3 linked regions of the Kluyveromyces lactis genome follow. The protein of the gene in region 3 binds, or shares a complex with, the protein of the main gene of each other region. Links are inferred from orthologs where the notes say so. Each region holds a gene or a part of one and is shown on either strand. Other genes may lie near its edges.

Region 1 (3,499 bases), on a different chromosome or scaffold from region 3:
TGCTGCCAATATTGTCAACCATTACTATTCAGTAGATCTATTGAACACGAAATTGGACAATTGGGTAGAATCTATGCCATATCATATAGCCAAAAAGAAAATTTCGTACTACGATAATGTCAATGACAAATATGTGAAACCATCAGAACCTAACGGTATAAAGTTAGAACAGTTTATTTTTGACGTTTTCCCCTCCATTCCTATGTCTAGGTTTGGTTGTTTGGAAGTCGAAAGAGCAGAAGAATTCTCTCCACTAAAAAACGCTCCTGGAACTGCAAATGATAATCCTGAAACTGCTAGGGATGCTTACCTTCATTTAACTACATCTTGGTTGAAAGATGTAGGAGCACTAGTCAATGATGAAATTCTTGTCGAAGTTTCAAGTCTATTGTCTTACGGCGGGGAAAACCTTGACTCTTATAAAGGCACTGTGTTCGATAAGCAAGGCGAAATTTTGAACTAACCAGGCAGTGTTTATAATATATTCGAAACGATAATGCTGGTGGTTTAAGTTTATTATATATACTAAAATAATACATACTTTTATCATTCAAGTGATATCAATATTGGATGTAGGTCAATCACTTCTTCTGTTTAAAAATTGTTTTAGTTCGAAAAGTACTGGTATACTCTCTTCGGAATTGAAAAGACCTTTGCAATCTATCTGGGGCCTGCCCTTCTTCTGATTTTCTATTTTCCGATTCATCAGCTCAAAACTTTTCTGTTTTCTCAAGTTTTCTCTACTTTTCTTATTTTCAATTGACAGATTCAGTATTCGTTGGTTTAATTCGTGCCTTAACTGGTCGTCTGTAAAACGAGAAAACTTAGAGTCGTTGCTAGAAGCTGTTTCTTGATCATTTTCAGTACCGTACACCAATTCCTCATGTTCTTTTTCAATGTCTGACCCAGTTTCATCTACTTCTAACACGTCTACTAGCGAAGTGAGTTTCGGAAATGAATCAACTACCACGGGGATATCACTGGTCGTCTTTACGATATCAAGATTGAGTCCACCGCTGAAAACTCTCTGACTGGAAGGCCGAGGAGAACATTTCGGTGGTTTCAACTGTTCATGCGAGTTATGTTTATAGTCGATATTCCATATTTGTATTATTCCATTCAACTCATCTATCAGGTGAGAAGAGAGTTCGGTAGATGTTTTGTCCTGTTTCATCAAGTATCGCTGCAATTCAGACAAGCGATAGATACTTTGGGTTATTACAGCTTCCTTTGATTCGGGATCCTCTTTTTCAATAGTACTTCCGTACACGGATAAAAGTAAATGTTTGTAATGATGCAAAACGGGCAACAATGATGAGATACCTTGTGTTAATGTGTATAATTGTTTCGAGATTATTTGAAATCGCTCTATGTCGGAAGTCTTTTCCACATGGTATCCAGGAAAAATTCTCTTCAAGACTAATGCAATCTCACACTTTTTCAGTGGATCAGTGTAGTTTATTGAAAGTAAGCAGCACAGAAAGAACTTTCTCATATATTGCAATCTCTCCAACTTTTGTGTAATGTCCAGACTTTCCACTGTTCGGATCATTTGATATAGGCTTTGCAAATCCACATTGTAAATACTGATATAATCAGTTAACTGAACTGCATTCACAACCGGCAAAATGTTACTAGATGCAATGTTCAATTTGTGAAATAACTGGTCTACTGTACATGTAAGGACATCTGTTAGTAATGTCAGTGTTCTGGCTTCATCTGAACGTAGACCACGATTTTCAGTCAATGCGATTGGTTTGTAAATAGTCAGCTCTTTATAAGTCAGGTGATAACGATAGATTAATTTGTCTACAGATTGCAATGCAGCATTCATCTGTCGTAGATTTAAAAGGGCAGTGTATTTGGAATATTTTGCATGGAAGTACTCTTGCTGTAAAGCTAGATAAACAGCAATCATCAATAAGGACATCAGAGAGGATCTAGGTAGATGTCTCTTATAAAGCATTTTACGGAAAGCTTTTCTTGCCGTCAATATGGTGAACATGTATGGAATTGTTCTCTGTAAATAGAATTTTTTTCCAGAAATTAACAATTGTCCATATTTTGTAGGTATAGTCTTTCCTTCAGCGTTGTGAATCGATAGGGTGTTTTCCTTATTGAAGTTCAGGATTGATTTCTGAACAGTAAATAACTGGTGATGAGAAGCGATCGAGCTTGTTAACAGTTGCGAGGAAATGATTTCATAGTGAAATTCATCAACAAAGGCATCCAGGTCACCATAAGGTAGCTGCTTCATGATCAAATCTACTTGTTTACTCCATCGGCTATCTTCTTCATGTGAGTTCAGAAAATCAGTTCTGTAATCGTTATCAATCAGAATCTCCTGTGATTCAAAGCGATCTTGGCCTACAACAGTCGGCGAAGTGTCCTTCAAAGCCTCAATACCCCACTCACTAAGCTTGCGCAACTGCTGGTAACTGATCGGAACTTGTGGGCGTGAACTGCTCCAAGTCTGTGACGAAGACATCGTTGATGGAGTCGATGCTGCAGATGCCATTTTGGGAATTTCAATCCTAGGGATTTGCAGATGCAAAGGCACCGCTTGGAAAATGTCCATTGTTTTCACTCAAAATGAGAGGATATTCAACCTGTTGGATTGATGGATGAGCCGCTTGACAAGCCTCGAAGTTTTGTGCTACATTGTCCAATGTATTGAGAGTGAGATGTCATTTATATGTAGATCAAGTTACGCTTTTTTTTTATTTTTTTTGTTTGTTTACGTTTACAAAGAAAGTAGTATCCGACAAAATTGATCGTGGAACAAATTGGCAGGAAGACATTATCAAGAGTCGAGATTAAGGCAACAGAACGAAAGAGAGTGTCAATGAAGTCATCAATGAAAACGAATCAGATAGTTTAATGTTACATATTAATTACGGGAAAGGTATATACTCTAGGTACTAAAGAAAGGGAAAAAATTTAGGTCGTCGCCATGCGGTAAATTACATTGGTCAAAAACCAGATGTCATTTGATTTCGATTTTGACTAGTATTACGGATATGAGAGGGAGCTAACATGTAAAACATACATATTACTGCTTCCGCCCTCCCATGAATTCATTACCCAAGCCTGACATATCAAACTGACCAAAATTCAATTTGTTATTTGAACCACCAGAGAATGTATTGAAATCTTGATTGTTAGTAACATCTATTTTTGAGAGAGGTTCTGATTTTTTATTATTGTCTAAAGGCTGAGAAGATGCTTGTGGACCCATAGTGGCTGGCATAGCATATGAATCAAAACTTTGAGGCTGTTGTGTTTGGAGTGACATGGCAAAATGATCTTTGTTCATTGGTTGGTCTTGCTGTTGTGATTTTACCATGTTCTCATAAGCTCTCTGTTGTTGTAGATATTGCTGGGACGGACTTGAATTATCTGATGGATCCCCTTGTCCTGGAAGTATGTTTTGGTTACCCAACTGATGATGCTGTTGATTTTGTTGATTTTGTTGGTGTTGCATTAAAGTCATCATTTT
Region 2 (2,401 bases), on a different chromosome or scaffold from region 3:
ATATGATATTTATGGAAAAGAGCCATCAGAGAACTTTATTAGAGTATGAGAAATTCATCTCTCAGGTTGGTACCCCAACTTGTGTATGGAGACGTAACGGACAGATCAGTTATGTGAATGACGAGTTTTCTCTATTGACTGGCTGGAATCGTCTAGAACTACTCAACAAAATGACCTTCATAGTCGAATTGATGGATGGTGATACGGTAATGGAGTACTTCCAAACGTTCACTAGGGTTGCATATCAGGGGTTCAGAGGTGCTGAAACTATGCGAATTTGTAATCTATTAACCCCGATCAAGGGAAGCGTTATTAAATGTTGTTGTCTATGGACGCTAAAAAGAGACGCCTTTGGTTTACCTATGATGATAATAGGGAACTTCATGCCAATTCTCACCCTACCAGAAGACGTTGGGTTTTGAATCTAGAACTGTCACAAGTCAATAGTATCGGACTGCTTAGAATAGAACAAAAGAGCAAAGCTCCTGGCGTGTGAGATTGGGTATTTATATTTATATATATATTTGTATTATACTAACTAATGCATGTAATCTTGAGTTGCATTACATCCTCTCTCTTATTGTCTCAATACATCTTCAACAAATTTCTTGTAGTCGATCAATCCGTCAGAGTCGATTTCGATCCCCTTCATCAATTCATCAACTTCCTCGTCAGTTAACCTTTCCCCTAGACCGGTCAATAGGTAACGAATATCACCTGGTGATACCTTGCCAGTATTATCCTTGTCAAAAACTTGAAAGGCTTTGATGAAATCCTCTACTTTACCTTGAGTAGTTTGCTCCAACTTCTCTTCGTTATCCTTAACTAATTTTTCTAGATCACCTAAGGTCAACTCGTCACCTGAAGAAGCGACAACTTCCTCCACTAGCGCATTGGTAGGATTGTATCCAATTGCTCTCAAATAATCACCAACTTGGGCCTTACTGATGGATCCCTTGGCTTGCTTGTCAAATAGCGTAAAAATATCTTTGTTGATTCTGGACATGATGATTGATTTCCCACTTCTTCAATGAATAATACAGTACTGCGTAATTAAATCACGATTCAGTATCACTTAGCCTAGCAAGAAGTAGATACTATTTAAAGCTCCAAGGTAAATATAAATCTATTCGAATGTGTAGAACAATGCATGCCTTCCTCCAGTAAATATATCAAATGTAAAGATACTCTTATTGTTTACGTTTTTCAAAATGGAAAACAAATTATTGTTTCTGGGGCCTCAAAAGCTCTTTTTTTGGACGACCTAAAACTCAGTCAGATATCATTTACCCGGATTTTAAATACCCATCACGTGAGTCAAATATATTGTTACCCGCACAATTCAACATCGCATTTCGAAAATTTCCAACCTTCCCTCGTTCAGTTTCTTTTCCTCAGCATCCAATGTTCCTGACATCTGATGACACTTTTTCTTTTGTCTTCTTGTCGAGCGATGAAAAGTGTTCAAGCTTCTTTTTTGATATGACCTATATAACAAAAGCGATTATTAACATACTCAATAACAGTTTTTTATCGTTCAGTGTCGTATCACTTTTGTTAACTAAGACATAATTTTCATTGTTGTGTTTTCTTTTGTTATAGCTCAGTACTATATCACAGATCAGTATACCGTTTAAACTCTGAACATTATATTGTGTTCCTTCGTTCATCAGTAAAAAAAAAGGTATGTGTGACTACTATGTCCGATTACAATAGGTTCGGGTTTCCCTCAGAGGCGATGGATATATATATATTCCCTAAACTCTAACACTATTCAAGATTTTAGACTTTTACCTATAAAAAAAGTCTTTGGTTCATATTACTAACAAATTCTTTTGATTATTATACACAGAGCTAATCAACTGTTCGTTATTAGTGTTTTTTCCGGTTAAAAAGAACATCTTCTTTGCCATTGTCTAAAACCATGTTTAGACTTGTCCAACAACAGACCCTAAAGAGTAGGGTCCCAAATCAGTTCGTTTCTGCGTCCAGAAATTCTTTAAATTCCCAGTTCCGTTTCAACAGCGCTGTCGCACTAGAGCGTAATCCTCAACAGGATCCAACAACTGCAGCACCAGCCAAGTCGTCTTCGGATAAGAGAAACTCTAAGAAGAAGTATGAAAATAATGAAATCATTGAACGTAACGTTAAAAAGGTCCGCAACCTAAGAAGAAACATAAAATTCGATAATTTCAAAAACTCTCCTAATTCTCCAGCTTTCTCTAAACTTAATGCCTTGGATGACTGTTTGGCCAGAGGTTTGGAAGCATCTTCCTCTCGTGCCCCCGATGGTAAATTCCTAGATCAATCTTCATTGTTTTGGGATTCGGTCAGTAGTAGTATGAATATCTACAGGGAGTTAGTCATCACCGGAGACTTAAACAACCATCGTGCAAGTAGG
Region 3 (3,762 bases):
ACTCTGTGTATGTCCACCTCGATGGGAACCCTGCACAAGAAATTCTAATTGTTTCCAAGACACCACATGCTCTAAGCTGTGACAAAACCATAAGATTGTCAAACTTCCATGCTTCTTTGTCTTCGTTAGGTTTGATACAACGAATGTAGTGAACGTTAGTGGAGTTGATAGTTTCCATAAGATCGATCAACGATTGTTTAAACATAGATCCTAGAGTTGGTTTTCTTACGATTTTTCTTGAGGCTGGACCGGGTTTCTTTTGACTTTCTTGCTTTTGGGCTTGTTTCTCTGCCAATTTTTCCGCATTTTTGTCAACAGTTTCCAAAATAGATAGTAAAGTTTCGTTGTTAGAAGCCTTTAACACTTCAAGATGTCCATCAGAAACTGTATCTCTATTCTTTTCGATAAATCCGTCTACATCATAAGTGACGTCCAATGCATAATGGCTAACAATAAATTGAGTTTGGCCGAATCTTGGTTTGGAGAATACTTCATTAGTTGGAGGTTTATTCAAAGTTTCATATAGTTTATGCGTCCATCCTTCATCCGTACCAGCAGGTAATCTTGATTCTTCGTCTAATAATGATAAAATACCAACTTTGTTCTCAATTAAGTCAATACACGGTTGATTATCGTTGAACTCGATAAACGACCATTCAATCTGTTCCTTTACGTACTCCTCTTGTTCTAGTTTGAAAACATGTTGGTTGAACTCTTGTTGCAACTTTTCGTTAGCGTAATTGATACAGAACTGTTCGAAAGAATTCTTTTGGAAATGTTCAAAACCATAGATATCCAAGACACCGATAAAAGTATATATCTCGCTTACCACTTCAGGGTTACATAGCACGGTGTTTATGTTGTCCACTAACCAATCGAATAATGCTGAATATATGAATTTCGCCACAGAATCACGAGAAACTATGGCTTGGTGGTAAGGTAGGGATGAGACGATCTTTTCAGACCTGGTAACGATCTGTTTCTTCGTTACCCATTTAGCGAAATCAAAAGCGTCTATACCTAACAAATCTGCCGCTATTTGTAGGTTTGGTTCATCAGATGACAAAGAAGCATCATTTCTGACCTTTTTAACTTCGATGTTACCAATATGAAGAAGGGCCGCCAAGATTTTAAACAGCTGGAATTGAGTATCCTTTGAGATACCAACCAAACTCAATGCTTCCACAGTATCACCGTATTCAGAGGCGTCATCGACACCTTCGATATGAGAGTCACCGCCCTGATTCATATAATGGTAGTCTTGTATGTCTGTAAGTTTCAACTGAGATTTTTCATCGTCGGATAAACCTGATAATATTTGATAGAAAATGTGGTAATTCCTTTCAGTTTTCGGTTGGAAAACCAACCTAGAACGTTCCAACAAATATGTTCTCACTCTGGCACCAATGATTGAAGTATCGTCATCGAAGAGAATTTCCAAATATTTACCGAATCTGGAAGAGTTGTCATTCCTAATAGTCTTAGCATTACCGAATGCTTCCATGATTGGATTAGTGGCCAATATCTTCTTTTCAGTTTCAGACATTTCCAAATTATGATGTGCGTTTTCCTCATTATTTTCTTCCACACTAGCGAAATATCTCATAATATATTTAGCCGAAACAGTCTTACCTGCACCGGATTCACCAGAAACGATGATTGTTTGGTTCTGATCTGTTGTCTTCATCAACCTATACGCTTCCTCTGCGATAGCAAAAAGATGTGGTTCCAATTCACCTCTAAGTTTCCCTGCATATGCCTGGATCATCTCCTGAGAATATAGTTGATCCACACGATCAAAGGGATTTGTGGCAATGAGCACGATCCCTGAATAAGTATAGATATTCAACTGGGCATATCTGGCCTTAATAGCATGTAAAACTGCCGGTTCATTCAAATATGACAATGACGTCAAATCCTCCGTAGTCTCAAGGATTGGAGGGTTCCTAAGTAGGGGTAAACTAGGCTCTTTGGTTTCATCTAAAGAAGACACTAAAAGCTCTACTTTCTGTCCATCCTCCAAAGTCAATTCCAAATTATAGGAATCTCCCTGCAAGGTATGTTTAGTAACTTCAGCACCGATCCATCCTTGATCTTTGCTGGGATACCAGCAGCGAGTCCCGACTTCGTACGGCATCCTATGCTGATTAACGCTTAAAACCTGAAATCTAAGATCAAATCAAATAACCAATAATTGAATCAGAAAAAGCCAACGAGCACTCAATTGAATCTGCAATGACACACGGCAATTAAAATCAAAACAGTCTCCTATTGCTTCGTACTGCTAGTCACAAGGATACACGGTGTCAGATGCCTCGCTCCCTGTATTTTCCGCTCTACTCTTCTCCTGAAACTCGTGAATCTAAATAAAACACATATAAATCAAATAAGATATATATTTGTTGTTCAAAAGATCCCACTTTTTTTTTGTTTTTTTTTTTTCCCTTCTGTTGTCCCAAGAGCTTTTTAAGTGGACTAAACAAATAGCAGGGATTCAACCTTTCGCGTCAGCGCGCCAGCAACGGATAAGCATGCAGTGAGGTAAACTTGTAGGGATATTTTCGCCTTGGTGGGGCGAATATTTGCTTATGGGGCCTCAAATTAGCCTTTTAAAAGGGTGATTTTTAGTCACGTGTAAATCACATGCACTATCCGGGTAATAGCGTTCCTGGTTCGTCTCTTCATCAGACAATTTCTATTCCAACATGAATAGAGGAAGTCGGTAGGTGGAGATAAGGCGCAGCTATCAAATAAGAATTAGATAGCAGCCTGGTTTCATTTCGTGGCGAGTAAAGACGAAAATATTTCATGGAATGAGGTTTTAGAGTTGAAATATTTTTGCTGAGGAGATTACTTTGTGAATAGGAACTTTAAACTCAAACTCAAACTCAAAAATTCGAAGTCTAATGGAGGTTAGCCATCGTGAACATACCAACCATATTGGATCCCAGGTTAACCCTTTGTTCCGCGGGTCCGTATTTCATAAGAATGATGCCGCAGATCTACGAGTCCCTTGGGATGGGAAACGTCGTAAATCTGGTGCTTCGATCAATTCTAAGACTCAGATGGGGGATTTGACCGAATTCAATCCGTCTCATCATGCCAGTAATAAAAACATTTACCATGACGATATTACGTGTGGTTCTTTAAGGTTTAGTGATGCGTTATTAGATGGCTCGTTCAAATGTCAGGATGAGCATTCTAGCAATAGATCTGGACATATGGCTAGTAGTAAACCGGGGAGCGGTAACAGTAGTCTGGGTCTTCTAAAAAATCAATCATACTCTAACATATCAATTTCCTCCACTCAATCATTTAAGAAAACGCACACGAAACTGTTAAATTTCTCTCAGTTGAAGCCCGACCTCACAACAGCATCGTCTTTTGAATCACAACCTTCTAAGGGCAACTCTTTGGCAAGACAGTTTCTTGAGACCGCTTCAAAGGCAAAATGCAACAGAGAGATAATACCGACCTTATTTTATTCCCCATCTGCCAACAGCTGCGGTGATACTTCTGGAGCGCTTGATTATTTGTCATCAGGGTTTACTGACAAACTTTTCCCCATATTTAACTCTAAGGAAACTGATCCAAAGGACATGAAGATAGACGTAGATTGTAAAGATATACCAGAGTATTTTGCAATGGATTACATCAAACATATACACAGAGATTTGACGGCATTGGAATTTCGTCTAAAACATTTCCTTATGAAAGTTATCTTACCGCAAGAGATGGATTTTACTCAGAACATCAACCATG

Evidence for each region. Proteins that work in one complex are often made in the same cells at the same time.
Region 1: the proteins of KLLA0_A03905g (region 3) and INP2 are in contact, whole or in part, in a crystal structure (PDB 6IXR), measured with the Saccharomyces cerevisiae proteins. The link is inferred for Kluyveromyces lactis from reciprocal best matches to the Saccharomyces cerevisiae genes MYO2 and INP2. Residues at the interface, in NP_014971.1 of Saccharomyces cerevisiae: Ile1206, Ile1207, Ser1210, Trp1213, Arg1214, Gly1216, Phe1261, Phe1264, Ala1265, Ser1268, Ile1269, Phe1275, Gly1278, Met1279, Glu1283, Tyr1287, Phe1542, Asp1543, Gln1544, Val1545, Glu1546, Ala1547, Val1565, Val1569; in NP_013886.1 of Saccharomyces cerevisiae: His532, Gly533, Phe534, His535, Leu536, Asp537, Ile538, Leu539, Lys540.
Region 2: the proteins of KLLA0_A03905g (region 3) and MLC1 are in contact, whole or in part, in a crystal structure (PDB 1N2D), measured with the Saccharomyces cerevisiae proteins. The link is inferred for Kluyveromyces lactis from reciprocal best matches to the Saccharomyces cerevisiae genes MYO2 and MLC1. Residues at the interface, in NP_014971.1 of Saccharomyces cerevisiae: Ile807, Ala810, Ile811, Lys812, Tyr813, Leu814, Gln815, Asn816, Asn817, Ile818, Lys819, Gly820, Phe821, Ile822, Ile823, Arg824, Gln825, Arg826, Val827, Asp829, Glu830, Met831, Asn834; in NP_011409.1 of Saccharomyces cerevisiae: Leu13, Phe14, Lys16, Asp29, Arg32, Ala33, Gly35, Tyr36, Asn37, Thr39, Asn40, Ala77, Thr78, Lys80, Ala81, Asp85, Phe86, Lys88, Ala89, Phe90, Val92, Met109, Leu110, Leu113, Gly114, Glu115, Lys116, Leu117, Glu121, Glu124.

The regions. Positions count from the first base shown.
Region 1 is NC_006041.1:162,171-165,669, forward strand, and holds INP2 (Inp2p), read right to left. Parts: upstream 2,579-3,499; coding exon 578-2,578; downstream 1-577. Other genes in the region: QRI1 (UDP-N-acetylglucosamine diphosphorylase), read left to right, coding at 1-463; MSS11 (Mss11p), read right to left, coding at 3,053-3,499. UniProt on the Saccharomyces cerevisiae protein: Required for peroxisome inheritance. Acts as the peroxisome-specific receptor for the myosin V motor MYO2.
Region 2 is NC_006042.1:962,106-964,506, forward strand, and holds MLC1 (Mlc1p), read right to left. Parts: upstream 1,007-2,401; coding exon 578-1,006; downstream 1-577. Other genes in the region: ERT1 (Ert1p), read left to right, coding at 1-422; KLLA0_F10461g (uncharacterized protein), read left to right, coding at 1,925-2,401. UniProt on the Saccharomyces cerevisiae protein: Essential light chain for the class II conventional myosin MYO1. Also acts as light chain for the class V unconventional myosin MYO2 and for IQG1.
Region 3 is NC_006037.1:348,334-352,095, forward strand, and holds the start of KLLA0_A03905g (myosin family protein), read right to left. Parts: upstream 2,138-3,762; coding exon 1-2,137. Other genes in the region: FRT2 (Frt2p), read left to right, coding at 2,907-3,762. UniProt on the Saccharomyces cerevisiae protein: Myosin heavy chain that is required for the cell cycle-regulated transport of various organelles and proteins for their segregation.